2 linked regions of the Arabidopsis thaliana genome follow. The protein of the gene in region 1 purifies or fractionates together with the protein of each later gene. This does not show direct contact. Each region holds a gene or a part of one and is shown in the gene's direction. Other genes may lie near its edges. The genes, in order: FUM1 and IAR4.

Evidence for each region.
Region 2: the proteins of FUM1 (region 1) and IAR4 purify together in Arabidopsis thaliana (affinity purification with mass spectrometry, with the first as the bait; one large-scale study listed by BioGRID). This does not show direct contact.

Annotation. Positions count from the first base shown.
Region 1 is NC_003071.7:19,494,710-19,504,941, forward strand, and holds FUM1 (fumarase 1), read left to right. Parts: upstream 1-3,519; 5' UTR 3,520-3,779; intron 3,780-3,794; exon of another isoform or gene 3,795-3,880; 5' UTR 3,881-3,904; coding exon 3,905-4,047; intron 4,048-4,135; coding exon 4,136-4,253; intron 4,254-4,355; coding exon 4,356-4,505; intron 4,506-4,628; coding exon 4,629-4,739; intron 4,740-4,878; coding exon 4,879-4,962; intron 4,963-5,292; coding exon 5,293-5,391; intron 5,392-5,467; coding exon 5,468-5,518; intron 5,519-5,606; coding exon 5,607-5,656; intron 5,657-5,772; coding exon 5,773-5,854; intron 5,855-5,980; coding exon 5,981-6,075; intron 6,076-6,157; coding exon 6,158-6,224; intron 6,225-6,307; coding exon 6,308-6,358; intron 6,359-6,464; coding exon 6,465-6,560; intron 6,561-6,650; coding exon 6,651-6,749; intron 6,750-6,843; coding exon 6,844-6,873; intron 6,874-6,983; coding exon 6,984-7,049; intron 7,050-7,224; coding exon 7,225-7,311; 3' UTR 7,312-7,779; downstream 7,780-10,232. Other genes in the region: AT2G47500 (P-loop nucleoside triphosphate hydrolases superfamily protein with CH (Calponin Homology) domain-containing protein), read left to right, coding at 58-132, 204-329, 413-494, 584-853, 931-1,037, 1,124-1,302, 1,408-1,569, 1,667-1,920 and 4 more; ERF71 (Integrase-type DNA-binding superfamily protein), read right to left, coding at 8,182-8,591, 8,676-8,781; AT2G47530 (Pollen Ole e 1 allergen and extensin family protein), read left to right, coding at 9,511-9,730, 9,809-10,143. UniProt on the Arabidopsis thaliana protein: Catalyzes the reversible stereospecific interconversion of fumarate to L-malate. Catalyzes the hydration of fumarate to L-malate in the tricarboxylic acid (TCA) cycle to facilitate a transition step in the production of energy in the form of NADH.
Region 2 is NC_003070.9:8,557,594-8,566,467, reverse strand, and holds IAR4 (thiamine diphosphate-binding fold (THDP-binding) superfamily protein), read left to right. Parts: upstream 1-2,965; 5' UTR 2,966-3,085; coding exon 3,086-3,776; intron 3,777-3,859; coding exon 3,860-3,939; intron 3,940-4,336; coding exon 4,337-4,414; intron 4,415-4,959; coding exon 4,960-5,055; intron 5,056-5,148; coding exon 5,149-5,220; intron 5,221-5,327; coding exon 5,328-5,381; intron 5,382-5,463; coding exon 5,464-5,529; intron 5,530-5,646; coding exon 5,647-5,691; 3' UTR 5,692-6,048; downstream 6,049-8,874. Other genes in the region: SNL3 (SIN3-like 3), read left to right, coding at 1-219, 314-399, 641-1,252, 1,355-1,455, 1,544-1,682, 1,774-1,926, 2,020-2,186, 2,280-2,382 and 2 more; LGT9 (Nucleotide-diphospho-sugar transferases superfamily protein), read left to right, coding at 7,836-8,874. UniProt on the Arabidopsis thaliana protein: The pyruvate dehydrogenase complex catalyzes the overall conversion of pyruvate to acetyl-CoA and CO(2).

The DNA of each region.
Region 1 (10,232 bases):
GTTCAATTGGTTAGTCCACAAAATATCTTCTAATCTAAGGAGTTCTGTCATGCGAAGGTTAGAGCAGCTCCAAGAGAATCAACTTCGTCACAGAACAACAGATCATTTCTTAAACCTCTTGGTGAAAGAGAGGTAAAGTCTTCAATTTATTTCCGTAAAATAAAACTTAGAAGTTTTTGCTGATTAATGAAGTGCCTTTGTAGAGGGAAGAGAAGAGTTTCAAAGCAATAAAGAAAGATGATCACAATAGTCAGATTCTTGACGAAAAGATGAAAACTCGCCAATTTAAACAACTGACAATCTTCAACCAACAACAAGAAGATATAGAAGTAAGCACTACACTGCCCACCATTTCTTTGAGTTTAGGATAGCACAGATTCTGAGTGTATCTGCTGTTCTTTATGTTTATTAGGGACTAAGACAGACGCTCTACACAACAAGGGCTGGTATGCAATTTATGCAGAAGAAATTTCAAGAAGAGTTCTCTTCTCTTGGTATTCAGATCTTTCTTCTCTTACTTTCTAAGAAAGTTTTTTTTGGATATCCAAGAATTTGACACTAATGAATCTATATCTGTCTACAGGTATGCACGTTCATGGCCTTGCTCATGCTGCTTCTGGCTATCACCGAGTTCTTGAAGAAAACCGAAAACTTTATAATCAAGTGCAGGATCTCAAGGGTAGCATCCGTGTTTATTGTCGGGTGCGGCCATTTTTGCCTGGACAATCCAGCTTTTCTAGTACAATTGGGAACATGGAGGATGATACCATAGGGATCAATACTGCATCTAGACATGGAAAATCACTCAAATCCTTCACTTTCAACAAAGTCTTTGGCCCATCTGCAACTCAAGGTAATGTAATTGAAATGCCTTGCTGTTATTCTCTAGTGATTGAATTTAACCTGAAGGATCTATCTTGCTCTTTGTAGAAGAGGTATTTTCTGATATGCAGCCATTGATCCGTTCTGTTCTTGATGGATACAATGTCTGCATATTTGCATATGGTCAAACTGGATCAGGAAAAACATTCACAATGGTAAGATTAGAGTTGAATAAATTTTGAAGACTGTTAACATTTGAAGCTAGAGAATTTTAATGTTTCCATTTTTGTAAATTTTCTAGAGTGGACCAAGAGATCTAACGGAGAAGAGCCAGGGAGTTAATTACAGAGCACTTGGTGATCTGTTTCTTCTTGCTGAACAAAGAAAAGACACATTCCGCTACGATATTGCAGTTCAGATGATTGAGATTTACAATGAGCAAGTTAGAGACCTTTTGGTTACTGATGGAAGCAATAAAAGATATCCTTTTTCATGAATGGATATACTTCTTAATGTTTTGATTAGATAGAGAGAGAGAGATCATTTTCATGTTTCAGTTTCATATTCCTTAACATTTTTTGGTACGTTAGAGATCAGGAATAGCTCTCAAAAGGGTCTAAGTGTACCGGATGCAAGTCTTGTTCCAGTCTCTTCAACATTTGATGTTATTGATCTAATGAAAACTGGGCACAAGAATCGAGCCGTTGGATCAACAGCCTTGAATGATCGAAGCAGTCGTTCTCATAGGTAAAAGACAAAATGTTTTCAAGAGCAGCGAGAACAAAAAATAATCTTCAAGAGTCTTACTCAATATAACATTTTTCAATCTTATTTTTTTTTGCAGCTGCTTGACTGTTCATGTTCAAGGAAGAGACTTGACTTCAGGAGCTGTGCTTCGAGGATGCATGCATCTTGTGGATCTAGCAGGCAGTGAGAGGGTAGACAAATCCGAGGTTACTGGAGACAGACTAAAAGAAGCACAGCACATCAATAGATCGCTCTCTGCTTTAGGAGATGTGATTGCTTCGCTAGCTCACAAGAACCCACATGTTCCTTACAGAAACAGCAAACTCACACAACTCCTTCAGGACTCTCTTGGTAAAAGGATACAAGTAATTTAGTCCTGAATATTTGCAGCTAAATAAAAACTCACCTTTTTCTTAACTTGGGATTGCAAATATGTTATATCAGGAGGACAAGCAAAGACATTGATGTTTGTCCACATTAGTCCTGAGGCAGATGCAGTTGGGGAAACAATAAGCACTTTGAAGTTTGCAGAGAGAGTAGCTACGGTTGAGCTTGGGGCTGCACGAGTGAACAATGATACTTCAGATGTTAAGGAACTCAAAGAACAGGTTTTTTTTTTCTCTTTTTGCATTAACTGAATCTGATGGTTTCACTTTCTTGGTTGATAGTATTTGATTGTCTCACACACATGGGCTTTTGCTTTGTTTACAGATTGCTACTCTTAAAGCAGCACTCGCGAGAAAAGAAGCAGAGTCACAGCAGAACAACATCTTGAAAACTCCTGGTGGCTCTGAGAAACACAAAGCCAAAACTGGTGAAGTAGAGGTGATTCTTCTTTTCTCAAGCACCTTCTCTATGATTTAAAATCAGATCTCAAAGTGGACATTGTTTTCTGAGTGATTGCAGATTCATAACAATAACATCATGACAAAGAAATCTGAGAGTTGTGAAGTGGAGGAGATTACAGTGAACTCACCACCTTGGCCACCAGTAGCAAGTCCAGGACAAGCCTACAGAGAGGATGACCGAAGTTTCGGGTCCAGCGAGTGGGTTGACAAGGTGATGGTGAATAACAGACAAGACGAGATGAGAAGAGTGGAGAGTCTTTGGGGAGGAGCCACAACAGAGAATGGTATTGGTATTCTGCCGGAAGATTTTTACAGGAGAGATTTGGCTTCAGACACTTCAAGAATATTCTCTGAACATTCTTACAACATCTTCATGGGAAACAACAACAGCACAGACGATCTAGATGCAGCCACAAGTGACTCATCTGAGCCAGATTTGCTCTGGCAATTCAACCAGTCCACCAAGATACCTACAAGAAGCAATATTGAGTCAAAACTCAAGAAACCCGTCTCAAAACCTATAAGAAGTCCTCAATCCAGGTAAGTGTCCTTTACTCGGTCAAAAACTAAATGAAACAACAATATAGAAAATCTTTAACAGTTTCTTTTGAATGGTTCCAAAAAAAATGCAGGAACAACTCAAACAACACGGTTTCACGTCCTTTGGCTTCACAGAAGGTAGGGAATGGTCCTCGTGGCATGAAACAGTTCGGTCCTGCTGATATGAAGCGGAAAGCTACTAACGCCAGACATTGAAGGCCACTCACTCACACGGATACATACATACACACTCACATGGCTTCTTATTGGTTTTGATTTGTTTATTTTTCATCCATTGGTTTTTATTGTTTCTTCTTCTCTCGTTTGGTTGTGCGAGCTTTTATATACATAACACAGACAAAGACAATAGCTAGACAATGCAACAACAGTTTCTTCTTGTTGCTCTCTTTCTTGGGTTTTGTTTTACTTTTCTGTTCTATGTATATTCTTCCACTAGCTGAACATAAAAAATATGAAAGATTTGTTTGTTAACTATTTGCTTGAGAGTTTTTTTAGTATATTCTATAATGCTTCAAATCAGAGACTTGTTGCATTTCTTCTAATTAGTTACAACTTTTGCAATCTTTGCTAGTATAAAAATATTTTATTAGAAATATGTAAAATTTGGGAAAGTATTATTTCACAACAGAAAAAAAAAAAGCATAGTACTTTTCAAATATCGACCAACCTTCTGATTCGTTGAATCCGTTTCTCGAATATTATAATTTTATTTTTGTTGTTTGCCCTATCTTTCTTTCTCCCTCTGCTCTTGTGCAACTTGATCCGTCGTCTTCTCTCAGCTCTCCATCTCCGTCTTCCAAGGTTTTTGTTTTTGCTATTTACGTTTACAGATTCGTAATCCTATCCTGGATTGAGAAATGCGTAGTTTGATGATTCTTCGCTCGCCTCTTTGTTGACTGCAGTTTTACTGTCAGGTAGAAGAATCCATGTCGATTTACGTCGCGTCGCGACGGCTCTCCGGCGGAACAACTGTGACGGCGCTGCGTTATGCCACCTCTCTGAGATCTTATTCGACCTCGTTTAGGGAGGAGAGGGACACCTTCGGGCCGATTCAAGTTCCTTCCGATAAGTTCGGGATCTGATCTTTACGCAACGTCGAATTTTCTCTTATCCTCGAGGGAAACGTTTCACAGTGTTTTATTTGTTGTGTGTCTCAGATTGTGGGGAGCCCAGACGCAGAGATCGCTGCAGAACTTCGAAATCGGTGGTGAGCGCGAGCGAATGCCTGAACCAATTGTCCGCGCTTTTGGCGTCTTGAAGAAATGCGCTGCCAAGGTAACATTCTAGCTCCAGGTTTTGGGGTTAATTTGCATCTGAATTCTCATTTGCTTTCTCGTATTTGGTTCTGTGATGAATTGAGTTAATATAATTTTATAGGTTAACATGGAATACGGTCTTGATCCGACGATTGGGAAAGCAATTATGCAAGCTGCTCAGGAAGTAGCTGAGGGAAAGCTCAATGATCATTTCCCCCTTGTTGTCTGGCAAACTGGTAGTGGGACTCAGAGTAATATGAATGCTAATGAGGTAATTTCTTTGCAGTTTTTGAGACATCTGTTGAGGATCTCATTGTATATAGCTAGCTACAAGAGAAGGCTTTCTGTTTATGTTTTTTCATTTTCTTTTGGCCTTGTTATTTGCTCTTCACAGGTCATTGCTAATAGAGCAGCTGAGATTCTTGGTCGCAAACGTGGTGAGAAATGTGTGCACCCAAATGACCATGTGAACAGATCACAATCTTCTAACGACACTTTTCCTACCGTAAGCTTTCATTTGCATTCCAGCTACCAATACTTTTTACATGCTTTAAGTTTTTAAAATTTTTCTTTCTTATATGTTGGCTCACTTCCCTTTCAACTTCTAATTGACGGTCTTTTTTTTTTTTTTGGCTTTTGTCTAGGTCATGCACATTGCAGCTGCAACCGAGATTAATTCGAGGCTCATCCCTAGTTTAAAAACTTTGCATAGCACTTTGGAATCTAAGGTCTGACTTTTTTCTTGCTCCTTCTTAAGTGACACACTTGATCTAGTCGCTAAACTGCAACACAAGACTCTTTAAAAATAAAACTTGCTCTGACCTCTATAGTATCATGGATCACTTCTGATATTAGTTCTGTGTGGTACTATTTGTATGTGAGAGTTGCTTTGTAGATGTTGCATTGTTGCGTTTAAGGAACATCTTCTGACCCTGCCACTTTGTTATATAATCCTGCTTTTCTAGACCTCTTCACATTCCTATTGCATTTGCACTTGGGCTTTATGGTCTATCTGCTCTGAATCCTAATTCTTTCCAAACTTACCTTGTTTCTGGCAGTCCTTCGAGTTCAAAGATATTGTGAAAATTGGAAGAACTCACACTCAAGATGCTACACCTTTGACACTAGGACAAGAATTTGGTGGCTATGCTACTCAAGTAAGTGGTTTTGTTCAGAAAACTGTGTTTGTCTAACAAAGTTGAAAATCACATACAATCTGGAACTCACCTGCAGGTTAAGTATGGACTAAATAGAGTCACCTGCACTCTTCCTCGCCTCTATCAGGTTTGGGAAATGATATCTTTTGGGGATCTGATTTCCTGTACTTCTCCAGTTTATACTGAGGTCTAACTTGCTGGAAATGTTTGGCCAGCTTGCACAAGGTGGAACTGCGGTTGGGACAGGATTAAACACTAAGAAAGGGTATATCTCATTTCTAATTTTATTTCCATAATTCCATCCCAGGTTCATCTCTCCTAAATTTGATGTTTTATTAGTGGGCTTTGTCCACTGTAGTAACACTAGTAATATCTGTACAGGTTTGATGTAAAGATAGCTGCTGCAGTAGCTGAAGAAACAAACTTGCCATTTGTCACTGCAGAAAACAAGTTTGAAGCTCTGGTAGCCTCCAAACTACCTCTATTATTTATTGACACGAAACCCATTCCTAGCTCTGCCTCTGGTGCCAACTAGACAAGATGTTCCTAAACGGTGAAATCAGTTGCTAAATTATTCTGCTTTTTCCAGGCTGCACACGATGCTTGTGTTGAAACCAGTGGGTCACTTAACACAATCGCCACATCGCTGATGAAGATCGCCAATGATATACGTTTTCTTGGAAGGTATGGATCTAATCTATAGGGATTATTTTTTTCTTTCTTTAACATGCACTATGTCCTTATGGTTTACCATGTCTTTATATAGTGGCCCAAGATGTGGTCTTGGTGAACTTGTACTACCTGAAAATGAGCCAGGAAGCAGTATCATGCCTGTATGAATGCAATCTTCCTTTGCTCTTCTGTCCTTTTCTTTTTCACTAGTTTTGATTCAAATGAATTTTTATCTCTTTCTCAGGGGAAGGTAAATCCTACACAGTGTGAGGCCTTGACTATGGTTTGTGCACAGGTAAGTCCCATCTATCAATACATTCTTAGTACAGACCAATGAATCTAGATGCTAAGGTTGTATTATTGTTCCTTGACTGTTTGGGTTGCAACCAATAACATTGCAGGTTATGGGAAACCATGTAGCTGTGACAGTTGGTGGGTCAAATGGTCATTTCGAATTGAATGTATTCAAGCCGGTGATCGCGAGTGCTCTTTTACATGTATGTCAATCATTTTCATTCTACGTCTGTTTCCTTGATTTTATATAAAAATATACCAGTCTTAACCATTTGATCTCGCCTCTTTGACAGTCCGTCAGATTAATAGCAGATGCTTCAGCTTCGTTCGAGAAAAACTGTGTGAGGGGCATTGAGGCCAACAGAGAAAGAATCTCAAAGCTATTGCACGAGGTAGGCTTATTCTCGTTTGTTGGTCTGAAAATTTTCCATCAAACGAAAATGATATCTGGGAACTGATTATTTTGTTCCATGTATTTATCTGTAGTCTCTTATGCTTGTGACATCATTGAATCCGGTAAGTCTCTAAATATTGAACTCCGCCTTTTTAGTCATCCGTTTTACCATTAGGATTACTAATGAATGTACTTTGATGCTGAGTTTTGGAATCCTTATCCTCTTTACCAGAAAATCGGGTATGACAATGCTGCAGCAGTTGCCAAGAAAGCTCACAAAGAAGGATGTACATTGAAGGTAAACACAAGAAACAATTTATTATAGAGAATTGAAATTGATTGGCAACAAGAGAAAGACGTTATTGCCTGCATCAGCAGTTTGATAGCAAATATATCTGCAATGCAGATTACATAAATTTATTGTAAACAGGTTCTATAGTATGTTAAACCTTGAGTTTTAATTTATCCTACAGGAAGCGGCTCTGAATTTAGGCGTGCTTACTGCGGAAGAGTTTGATACACTTGTTGTTCCTGAGAAGATGATTGGTCCCTCCGATTGATAGTTGTTTTTGGAGCCAAAGCTTCAAGTACCATTATTCTTCTGATGCTTTTATTTAGGTTATAATAAAAATGAGCAAATCCAGAAACAATTCAAATTTTCTTGGGAGGGCAACATTGTTCTTCATCTTACGGCTAAACTATGATCTTCTTTATGTATCAATTTTTTTTTTGTGTTGAATAAGAGAGTGAGTACTCAGCGAGAAGAATTTCTGAGTTTCGTTAGTCTCTCTCTCCTCGGTGGGCTCACGGTACGAGCCTTATTGGCGCTAGGATTTATTACTCTTTGGGCCGATTAAAATTGGATTGGCTTTACTGGGCTTTTGTTAGACCTCAAATTGAACGAGGCTTATGACGTAGCGTAAAGGTGTAAAAGAATACAAACATGACACACCTTTAGACGATGAAACCATGAGCGTCCTCAAGCCAACAGATTCCGCTCCGCCGCCGCCACAACCGCGGTTTCCCCGAGACTGTCTCCATGATTACATTTAATGTTCTTTTTGAAAGAAAAAAAATCTCTATACTTAACATATTAAATTTTTATTTTTATTTTTTTTTGAAGTTCAAAATTTAGGTGTTGAAAACAAAACGAGAATGAGAATCTTAAACTTAAATATGAATTGTTTCTGTGATATCATATCTAATCAAACAAAAAAAAAACATGGTGAAGACTATAAACGACGGTGTTTAGTGTGTTTGTTCTTGACAAACTATTTATATAAAGCACTGAAAACTGTTTTTAAAGACAATTGAAGCTTTACTCTTATCTGAAATATTGATGGAAACAAATTAGACTTGATTGTTAAGTAAAAAACAAGTAAATTAGCAGCATATTAATGAGTGAGCAAACCGGCCGGGAAATAAGAGATTTAATTGGAGTCTTGATAGCTCCATAAATTTCCAATATCGGTCGCCGATTGGTCGTCGGCAACCGGAATCTGATAGAATCTCATGTAATCCTCCAATGCCATCAGGTCCTCCGATAAGCTCTCTACTTGGTTTTCCGAAATCAGCTCATTTTGATTCCCCCCTGGTTTAGTATCGGCTTCTTCTTCTACTTGAGTGTTTGGGAAATTCAGTTTGGCTTTCCGGCCACGGATTTTGATGGCAGCAACGTCGTAGGCTCGAGCAGCTTCGTCGGCGGTTTTGAATGTGCCAAGCCAGACACGTACACCTTTGCTCGGGTCACGAATCTCCGCTGCCCATTTGCCCCATGGCCTCTGCCTTATCCCTCTGTACAGATTCTTCCTCTCTCGTTTCCCATCTCTTTCTTCACTCACTGTTCGAAGATATTCCCGAATCAGAAACGGATATATTAGGTTTTATAATAAAAAAACAAAACTCGAAACCAAAAGTGTTGTACCTGAGACGGGTTTACGCTTCTTCCTGCTGCTAACAGAGCCGAGTTGACTCGGTTCTGACTCAGATTTCGACCAGATGAAATCAGAAATGATAGCTCCCCCACACATTTTTGTTTTTTGTTTTTTACGCTTCCAACTCCAAACTAGAACAAGACGTATTTGCGTTTTCGTTTTTGAACCGAGTCCTAAAAGAGAAAGAGAATTTGGGTTTTATATAGTGAGACAATGTCAGAGTTGTTGCTGTTTTTGCTTGACGACCAAGTTCTTCTAGAAACTTTTATTAATATCATCTACTTTATTTACTGTGTGCTCTATAACCTTTTGCAACTACCATTAACAACTTATAAATAATAATAAGTTAATTAATCATAGAATTTGCAGTTATCATTTGAACCATAACGCTTTCTTAATTATTTCTACTCCCACATCAAATACTATATTACATGGCGTAATATTAATTCCTACCAAATTCTTCTATTTGTTTTAGTTAATTTATCTAATCATGCATGTAAATACGTATTTATAAATACTTCACTCAAGAATTAACCACAAAACAGTAATTCCTTCCTTCTCAATTCGGATCCTAGCTTGGTGTAGTGTGATGAGTAATAATTATCAAAACATTTCTCGATCAATATTATTAGGTTTTGGTGGGGAAATATAAAAATTTAAACGTGCACCCAATTATGTCTCTTCTCTTCCGGCCAACATCTAGTTGACACTTGTCCTATATAATCTTAAGATACTTCTGTCGACATTGTGTTCCACATATATAAAGGAGGCCATGTCTTGTGATCAGACCTTAAACAACCAACAACAGACGAGCAACTACTAACAATGGCATCCACAGGCGCCGCCACTAACCTCCTCCTCCTCGCGATGGTGGTGGTTGTGGCTACTGCCGATTACTATGCGCAACCACAACCTTACGTTCCCAAACCAACAACCACCTACACATCACCGGTTAAGACTCCATACTTGCCAAAATCAAACCCTGACATCGCCATCGAAGGTTTCATCTTGTGCAAATCTGGCTACAAAACCTACCCCATCCAAGGTGCAACTACATTTTCGATTTCACATTATATGTGTTACATCCCATGACATCTTACCAAACCGGTGATGTACTTGACAGGGGGCAAGGTTAAGGTTGTGTGTCCTGTCGTGGATTCATATGGAAAGCTAGTGGCTAAGGTTACAATCTCTAGCTACCCAACGGACTTGAAGGGATACTTCTACTTCATCACGTACGGACTCTCACACAAGGTGAATAACATCAGCAGCTGCAAAGTGAAACTCGAGAGCTCTCCGGTCTTCACGTGTAAGACTCCGACCAATGTCAACAAAGGTGTCACCGGAGCTCCACTCTCTCCCGACAACTCCAAGTTCCTTAGCCACGACAACTTGACCCTCTACACCCTTGAACCTTTCTATTTCTCAAGTCCAGTGGCTCCCAAACCCGTTTACTAGGGATCACAATCAGTCATTATATCGCGGTTTATTTGTATTCTCATTCTTTTTTATTAATCTTGGCTATCCTTTTGCTATGTTGAATAATA
Region 2 (8,874 bases), on another chromosome or scaffold:
CTAGTAATTCGGAGAGGGATGGCGCCGCTGGTAGGACATCAGATGCCTTATGTGAGACTGCTCAGCATGAGAAAATGCTGAAGAATGTAGTTACGTCTGATGAAAAGCCTGAAAGCAAGCAAGCTGTTTCTATTGAGCGTGCACACGATTCAACTGCTCTCGCTGTGGATGGATTATTAGATCAAAGTAATGGAGGAAGCAGTATAGTACACATGACCGGTAACACCTCAAAATCTTGCTTAGAAGTTAGTTCTCTTGGAATTTTTCATTTTCTTTGTACAGTTAATGAATAGTTTCCTCTTTACTTGGTCAGGACATTGCAATAATAATCTGAAGCCTGTGACCTGTGGAACAGAGTTGGAGTTGAAAATGAATGATGGTAATGGGCCAAAATTAGAGGTATAGTTTCAGTGAAGCACGTTTTAGTCCCATCATCTTATATTTTGATCTGATACTTTCTATATAGATGACTCATTTCAAATGAAGGACCGAATTTTGTTGATATGGAACAATATCTCCCATTGTTTGCACTTGGTGCTTAGGTCCTTCATATGGAACTTAGATAGTTTTAAAATTTGAAGTTACACACCCTTAGTTCTGTGTTAACCAAGAGGTGGTACTGATAAACTTTGTCTCACAGGTTGGTAACAAGAAGTTATTGACAAATGGGATCGCGGTAGAAATAACAAGTGACCAAGAGATGGCAGGAACATCCAAAGTTGAAAGAGAAGAAGGTGAACTTTCTCCAAATGGAGACTTTGAGGAAGATAATTTTGCAGTTTATGCAAAAACTGATTTTGAGACCTTCAGCAAAGCGAATGATAGTACTGGAAATAACATTAGCGGAGATAGAAGTAGAGAAGGGGAACCATCTTGTCTGGAGACAAGGGCTGAGAATGACGCTGAAGGTGACGAAAACGCCGCAAGATCATCAGAGGACAGCAGAAATGAATATGAGAACGGTGATGTTTCTGGAACGGAATCTGGTGGTGGTGAAGATCCGGAGGATGATTTGGATAACAATAACAAAGGAGAAAGCGAAGGTGAGGCTGAATGTATGGCTGATGCACATGATGCTGAAGAAAATGGGTCTGCCTTACCCGTTTCAGCACGATTCTTGCTGCATGTAAAGCCCTTAGTAAAGTATGTTCCTTCAGCTATAGCTTTGCATGACAAGGACAAAGACTCTCTGAAGAACTCCCAAGTTTTCTATGGAAATGATTCGTTTTACGTGCTTTTCAGGCTGCACCGGGTAAGAGCTAAAGATCATATACAGTTTGAAAAAATTATAAACAGTATAATCTAAAGTACAAAGAGTTTTCACTAGCTAACTTTACGCTATTACTCTTGACAGATATTGTATGAGAGAATACTATCAGCAAAAGTTAACTCATCATCCCCGGAAGGAAAGTGGAGGACCTCAAATACCAAAAATCCTACTGATTCCTATGCTAGGTGAAATTTGCTTTTTATTGCAGAGATTGTGTGTGTTTCTGGGATTCATATGTGCTCCATACTTATAACTTTAATTAATGTGGAACAGATTCATGACTGCACTCTACAACTTACTTGATGGTACATCTGATAATGCCAAGTTTGAAGATGACTGCCGAGCGATAATCGGGACTCAGTCTTATATTCTCTTCACATTGGACAAACTGATCCATAAATTCATCAAGCATGTGAGTATTTTTGCTCTTTGATGTTTTCTCTATGTATTCACCTCTCTATCTTTACTTGCTTTTTACTAACATACGTGTGGTCATTCTTCAGCTACAAGTAGTAGTAGCTGATGAGATGGACAACAAGCTTCTTCAGCTTTATTTTTATGAGAAATCCAGAAGGCCTGAAACGATTTTTGATGCTGTGTATTACGATAATACCCGTGTCCTCCTCCCTGATGAGAATATTTACCGTATTGAATGTGTAAGTTTTTGCTGCATCTTACATTAGCTACTTATATTCTGTCGATGCACTGCTGATCATGCTTTTGGACTCCAAAACCTCATGTGTATGCAGAGATTATCAACCCCAGCGAAACTCTCTATTCAGCTTATGTGCAACGGTCTTGATAAGCCCGATGTGACATCTGTATCCATTGACCCGACCTTTGCAGCTTATCTCCACAATGACTTCCTCTCCATACAACCAAATGCAAGGGAGGATCGCAGAATCTATTTAAATAGGTAAATGTAAAACATGAACAAATGACTGTCCCTTGATCTCTGAAACCTAGTGGGTCACTCATCAAAGCCAATGCCATTTTTCGTTTTCTCCAGGAACAAGCGCAAAGTTTGTCGTGAAGATGAACAGTTATACAGCACAGATGAAGTTAAGATCAAAAATGGTTTGGAGTGTAAGATAGCTTGCGGTTCTTCAAAGGTAACACTTTTATCTTCTTCCCTATATCACGCTTACCGCTTATGAGTATATCCATGAGAGACCAGCACTTGAAAGCACGTTCTTGAAAATCTCTTGCAGGTCTCCTATGTACTAGAAACAGAAGATTTGTTGGTGCGAGTTAAAAAGAGAAGAAAAACTTTGTGCCACAATCAGGATTCTTGGGTAAGGCAAATGAGGTTACAATATTACAAAAATAACTTCTTGTGACCAGCCTGTAACAATCTGGAAGAAGGATACCAAATCAACTCAACTTGTTCATTCACTCTCCAACTTAACAGAGACAAAACAAAAACAAAAGTGGCAATTCTCCATTGTTGACTTCACCGGATAGAGCCAAACTGCATTCTCTATCTTCATAAGAAGAAGAAGCAACAAAGGATTTGGCTTTTTGTTGTCTGTGACTGAAAAAGAAAACAATCACTCACAAAAATGATGTTACATATGTAAAGTTTGTCTTTATTCACTCTCTTGTTGTAAAGTTTTGTATGTTGTTGTAACATTTATCAAAAATTTCATTTTGTTATGGTATGTTATATAGAAATGAGTCAAATGACCATAAAAGGTTTGACCTTTTCCATAAACGACGCTTCGCCCTCTCCTAACTCTTTCCCTCACTTTAAAAAGATTCGATTTTTGACTGCAAAAAAGAGAATTTCTAAAAGCAAATCGGAGAGCTTCGGCGATGGCGTTATCACGACTTTCTTCACGATCCAACACTTTCCTAAAGCCGGCGATTACCGCCTTGCCCTCCTCCATCCGCCGTCATGTTTCCACAGACTCATCACCGATCACAATCGAAACCGCCGTCCCTTTCACATCGCATCTATGTGAATCACCGTCACGCTCCGTCGAGACTTCATCGGAGGAGATCTTAGCCTTTTTCCGTGACATGGCTCGGATGAGGAGGATGGAGATCGCAGCAGATTCTCTTTACAAGGCGAAGCTGATCCGTGGGTTCTGTCATTTGTACGATGGTCAAGAGGCTTTAGCGGTGGGAATGGAAGCGGCGATTACCAAAAAAGATGCGATTATCACATCGTATCGTGATCACTGTACTTTCATTGGTCGTGGTGGGAAGCTTGTTGATGCTTTCTCTGAGCTTATGGGGAGAAAAACTGGTTGTTCTCATGGTAAAGGAGGATCTATGCATTTCTATAAGAAAGATGCTTCCTTTTATGGTGGACATGGGATTGTTGGTGCTCAGATTCCATTGGGATGTGGTTTGGCTTTTGCTCAGAAGTATAATAAGGATGAGGCTGTGACTTTTGCTTTGTATGGTGATGGTGCTGCGAATCAGGGACAGTTGTTTGAGGCCTTGAACATTTCGGCTTTGTGGGATTTGCCTGCGATTCTTGTTTGCGAGAATAACCATTGTGAGTTTATTTTTTGGTTAATTGTAATTTGTTTGGTGGAATTGTTGAGACTTTTGTGTTGATTTGGATTGTTTGATGTTTAGATGGAATGGGAACGGCTACATGGAGGTCGGCTAAGTCTCCGGCTTATTTCAAGCGTGGAGATTATGTTCCTGGCTTGAAGGTGAGACTGAGTTGTCTTTTGGCATGATCTTGAGCTTTACAATGCTTTTGCTTTGATGAGACTGAGTTGTCTATAGCACGCTTTTAGTTGATACAGGGTTTCCTTGTGTGTTTTAGACCACTGGGTCGACTATGGAACAGCTAGGTAGTGAGGATAGGGTTTTAGACACAAATTGAATGAGAAAGGACAAACCTTCACAGTTGTGTGTTCGGATCAAGTGTAACTTTGTGAGAACTACCAAAAGGAATTGTCTCCAAAGTCTCTATCTTTGTTGTTTTACAGAAGTTGCTTCAGTTTTTTATTACTTTACCCAATAGAATTGTATCCGTTGTTTTTCTGATTGGTGAGAGTGTGAACTTAAAGCTAACGAATGATTATCTTTTGCTTTGTTTTCTAGGTGGATGGTATGGATGCACTGGCTGTGAAACAGGCGTGCAAGTTTGCCAAGGAGCATGCTCTCAAGAATGGTCCTATTGTAAGTATTACAGCTGCTCCTGTTGGTTTTATGAAATCGATACCTAATCAATATGACTCTTAGCATTTTATGCAAATTAAGAATTCGTAGAATCATTTATTACTTGCATGTGTGATGCTACTTTGGTTGGGGAGAATGGTTAGCTGGTAACTTCTACCTAGCCTAGATTTGGATTGAACGAGGTTTATTTGGAGAAAACAAGACTTCTTAAGTACCTATGTTGTTAATTTGTTTGCTGTTTCCGGGAGAGTGTGACAGGCGTGATTGACAAGCTCCTAGGATTTCTATTAAAAGTACTAGATAAGTAGATATCACTAATATCTCTTGGAGTTTTTGGTGTGTACCTACTTATGAAGTGAAATTATACCATGTTGACTTCAGCTTCCAACCAATTTTCCTTTTTTGCATTTTGTCACCAACACAAATGGGACAAGCATTTTGGATCTTGTGAATTCAATCACATAGCGTTGACATTTATCGTATTTTTATAATCCATTCTCTACCTAGTGATTATGACCAACATACCATTGCCATTATTTGCGCAGATCCTTGAGATGGACACTTACAGATACCACGGTCACTCTATGTCTGACCCAGGAAGCACTTACCGTACTCGTGATGAAATCTCTGGCGTGAGACAGGTTAGTTCTTTGTTCATTTGTAAGACTACTGCTCCAACCATATGCAATTTGAAACTTTTTAATCTGTAAAGTTTTCATCGGTGTTACCTTTAGGTGCGTGATCCAATTGAAAGGGTGCGAAAGTTGCTCTTAACTCATGACATAGCTACCGAAAAAGAGCTTAAGGTACCCTGTTCACCACCTTCCCATTCCAGACAAAAAGCTTGAAAAAAATTATACATACAACCATCAAACTTGACTATGGAAATGACAAAATTCTTTTGACATTAAAGGACATGGAGAAAGAGATAAGGAAAGAAGTAGATGACGCCGTAGCTCAGGCCAAGGTAATAATCTTAATTGTTTCTATCTTTGTCCTTGTTATTTATCAAAACACGAACTAATTCCTTGCTGTTTAACTTGTTTCAGGAGAGCCCGATACCAGATGCATCTGAGCTATTCACAAACATGTACGTGAAAGACTGCGGAGTTGAGGTACTATCACATCCCACTCTTTCACATCTATTTATTTCTTTTGTAACCCTGTGGCGTTGGTAGTTGTTGGCATATGAATCTAGAGATTTACGCATTTTCCTCCATTGAAATTTGCAGTCGTTTGGAGCAGACAGAAAAGAACTCAAAGTAACACTTCCATAGAATCTTGCTTCCCAAGGAGATGATTGGTTCAATAAATCAGAAGGCAAGGCTACACAAATCTTTTTAACTTGCTACCAAAAATATTTCTGGTTTTTTTTTTTTGTATTTTCATTTCAAGTGTAAAGCCATTGCTTCACCAGTTTGCCAACTTTTGTTTCCCACACTTCAATTTGACACCAAGCAAAAGAAGCTTCGGATATCACTCTGTGAGATAAAGTTAGAGAAATAAGCAGAGAGTAGTTAAGAGAAAGATCATCAGCTTCTTTGTCTCAAGTAGAAAAATGTCGACATGTGATTACAAAATCATCAAGACCCCGTGTTAAATTCGTTATCTAATATATATAAAAATAAAAAGGCAAAACCAACTTCTGCGTCGGTACCAATAAAACCACATGAATAGTTATGTCTCCACCACCTAACTTGAATAATCTTTGCTTCTACTCTACAAGTCCCTTTCTCATCATCCCCCACATCAACACCAAATCTTATTGAATAGGTAAACTCTATGACGCCACTCACTCTCTTTCTTAATACTTAAATTAGATTAGATTTCTTGCAACAACTAATCACTACAAAAGAACATTGATGATTGATTGCTTTTTCCTTTGTTAACCAAGCATTTGGTTCTCTCTGTAAGCCAATAGAAACCAAACAAACCTTTGCTTAGTTTTTTACTCGGTAAATAATTAGTTTGACAAGTAACAAGTTTATATATTATATAGTGTTCAGTGTTTTAACTTATTCAAGAATATTCTCTCTATATCATCAAATCAAATATGTTCAACGGAATCTTCATCGTGTTCTCTTCTCATATCCGAGAAAAAGTCCTTAAGAAAAACTCGAGAAAGTGATACATGAATGGTATTATTGAAAATGTTATTCATATAATAAGATGTTACGTCTGACCATGAGCTGCACTACCCAACGGGAATATTCGGATTTAATTGGCTTGGTAGTCGCTACCAACAGCCCAATAATATATATACTAACACTAAGAAGAGAACAAAACTTCAACTTTAATATCCCAATAAAATGTGCCGACAACAAAAACATATATATTTTCTAATGAAATTTCTGAGAAAACAAATTATGAATGATAGTCACGAGTCTTATTCGTCGGTGAAACCATAGTTTAAAAAACTATCCTAACATTTGATATTGATTTCTCTTAAAATTCTTGTACTAGTTTCTACAAATTGTGAAATTGCATTAACTTTTATAACAGTAAATCATTGTTAAATGATTGAGACATGTGAGTGAATCTATAGTTTCCTTGTTTGGTTGTACAAAATCCAGTGCTTTTCTCTACCGTTTTGTTATGTAAAAGGAAATTATTCAATTTTCCTTAACATTCTTTAGGAAAAATATATACTCTTTATGAACATATACCTTGCTTGTCTGTCAAAAATCTGATATCTATAAAATTAAAGGCAAAAAAGGATAGTATTATTTTTATTTATTTTCCAAAAACATTCCTGGGGAAATATTGTCTAGGGTAATTATTGCTTATTATGCTTGCCAGTACGAAAATCACAAAAAATAAAACATTTTTCCACTGGCAAACAAACATTTATTAGCAAACATTTTTCCAATGCCATTACTACATTACAAGCAAATAGGTGTGCAGCGCACGTGACAAGTTGAGTTCTCATCGTTTAATCTCAACCGTCCAATTACCAAAAAGCGAATCATCCAGCTGTTTCCCTCGACCTACACAGCTGGCACCGCCTTAATGGGCCAAGACCTTAAAACTCACCTAAATCTTGTAGTAATTAACCTTTTCGTTAATTACAGTCTTAGGGATTTGTTTCTTCAACACTTTCCCTTAACGACTAAGCCTTAATGACGTCTCACGCGTTTTTTTAATACGCGCGTGATTCGTATTCTCCTAATTTAGGAAAACAAAATCATCAAAAGTTAAAGGCAATGACAATGAGCAAAAATGACTCTTTCATAACCAATCTTTCTTCTTCTTCTTCTTCTTCTTCTTCCTCTTTCCTTATCTCTCCATCTCTGTGGAGAGACACAAAACTTCCAAAAAGGAACATTCTTTCAGTTCTTTACTTAATCTTTCACAATGCTAAATCATTAGCCGTTGATAAAGTCTTAATCTTTGATTCATTCAAACGCGTTTTTGTTTAGTAATGTCGTCGCGTTTTTCTTTGACGGTGGTGTGTTTGATTGCTCTGTTACCGTTTGTTGTTGGTATACGGTTGATTCCGGCGAGGATCACGAGTGTCGGTGATGGCGGCGGCGGAGGAGGTAATAATGGGTTTAGTAAACTTGGTCCGTTTATGGAAGCTCCGGAGTATAGAAACGGCAAGGAGTGTGTATCTTCATCAGTGAACAGAGAGAACTTCGTGTCGTCTTCTTCTAGTTCTAATGATCCTTCGCTTGTTCACATCGCTATGACTTTGGACTCAGAGTATCTCCGTGGATCAATCGCAGCCGTTCATTCTGTTCTTCGCCACGCGTCTTGTCCAGAGAACGTCTTCTTCCATTTCATCGCTGCTGAGTTTGACTCTGCGAGTCCTCGTGTTCTGAGTCAACTCGTGAGGTCGACTTTTCCTTCGTTGAACTTTAAAGTCTACATTTTTAGGGAAGATACGGTGATCAATCTCATATCTTCTTCGATTAGACTAGCTTTGGAGAATCCGTTGAACTATGCTCGGAACTATCTCGGAGATATTCTTGATCGAAGTGTTGAACGAGTCATTTATCTTGACTCGGATGTTATAACTGTGGATGATATCACAAAGCTTTGGAACACGGTTTTGACCGGGTCACGAGTCATCGGAGCTCCGGAGTATTGTCACGCGAACTTCACTCAGTATTTCACTTCCGGGTTCTGGTCAGACCCGGCTTTACCGGGTCTAATCTCGGGTCAAAAGCCTTGCTATTTCAACACAGGAGTGATGGTGATGGATCTTGTTAGATGGAGAGAAGGGAATTACAGAGAGAAGTTAGAGCAATGGATGCAATTGCAGAAGAAGATGAGAATCTACGATCTTGGATCATTACCACCGTTTCTTTTGGTGTTTGCGGGTAATGTTGAAGCTATTGATCATAGATGGAACCAACATGGTTTAGGAGGAGACAATATACGAGGAAGTTGTCGGTCATTGCATCCTGGTCCTGTGAGCTTGTTGCATTGGAGTGGTAAAGGTAAGCCATGGGTTAGAC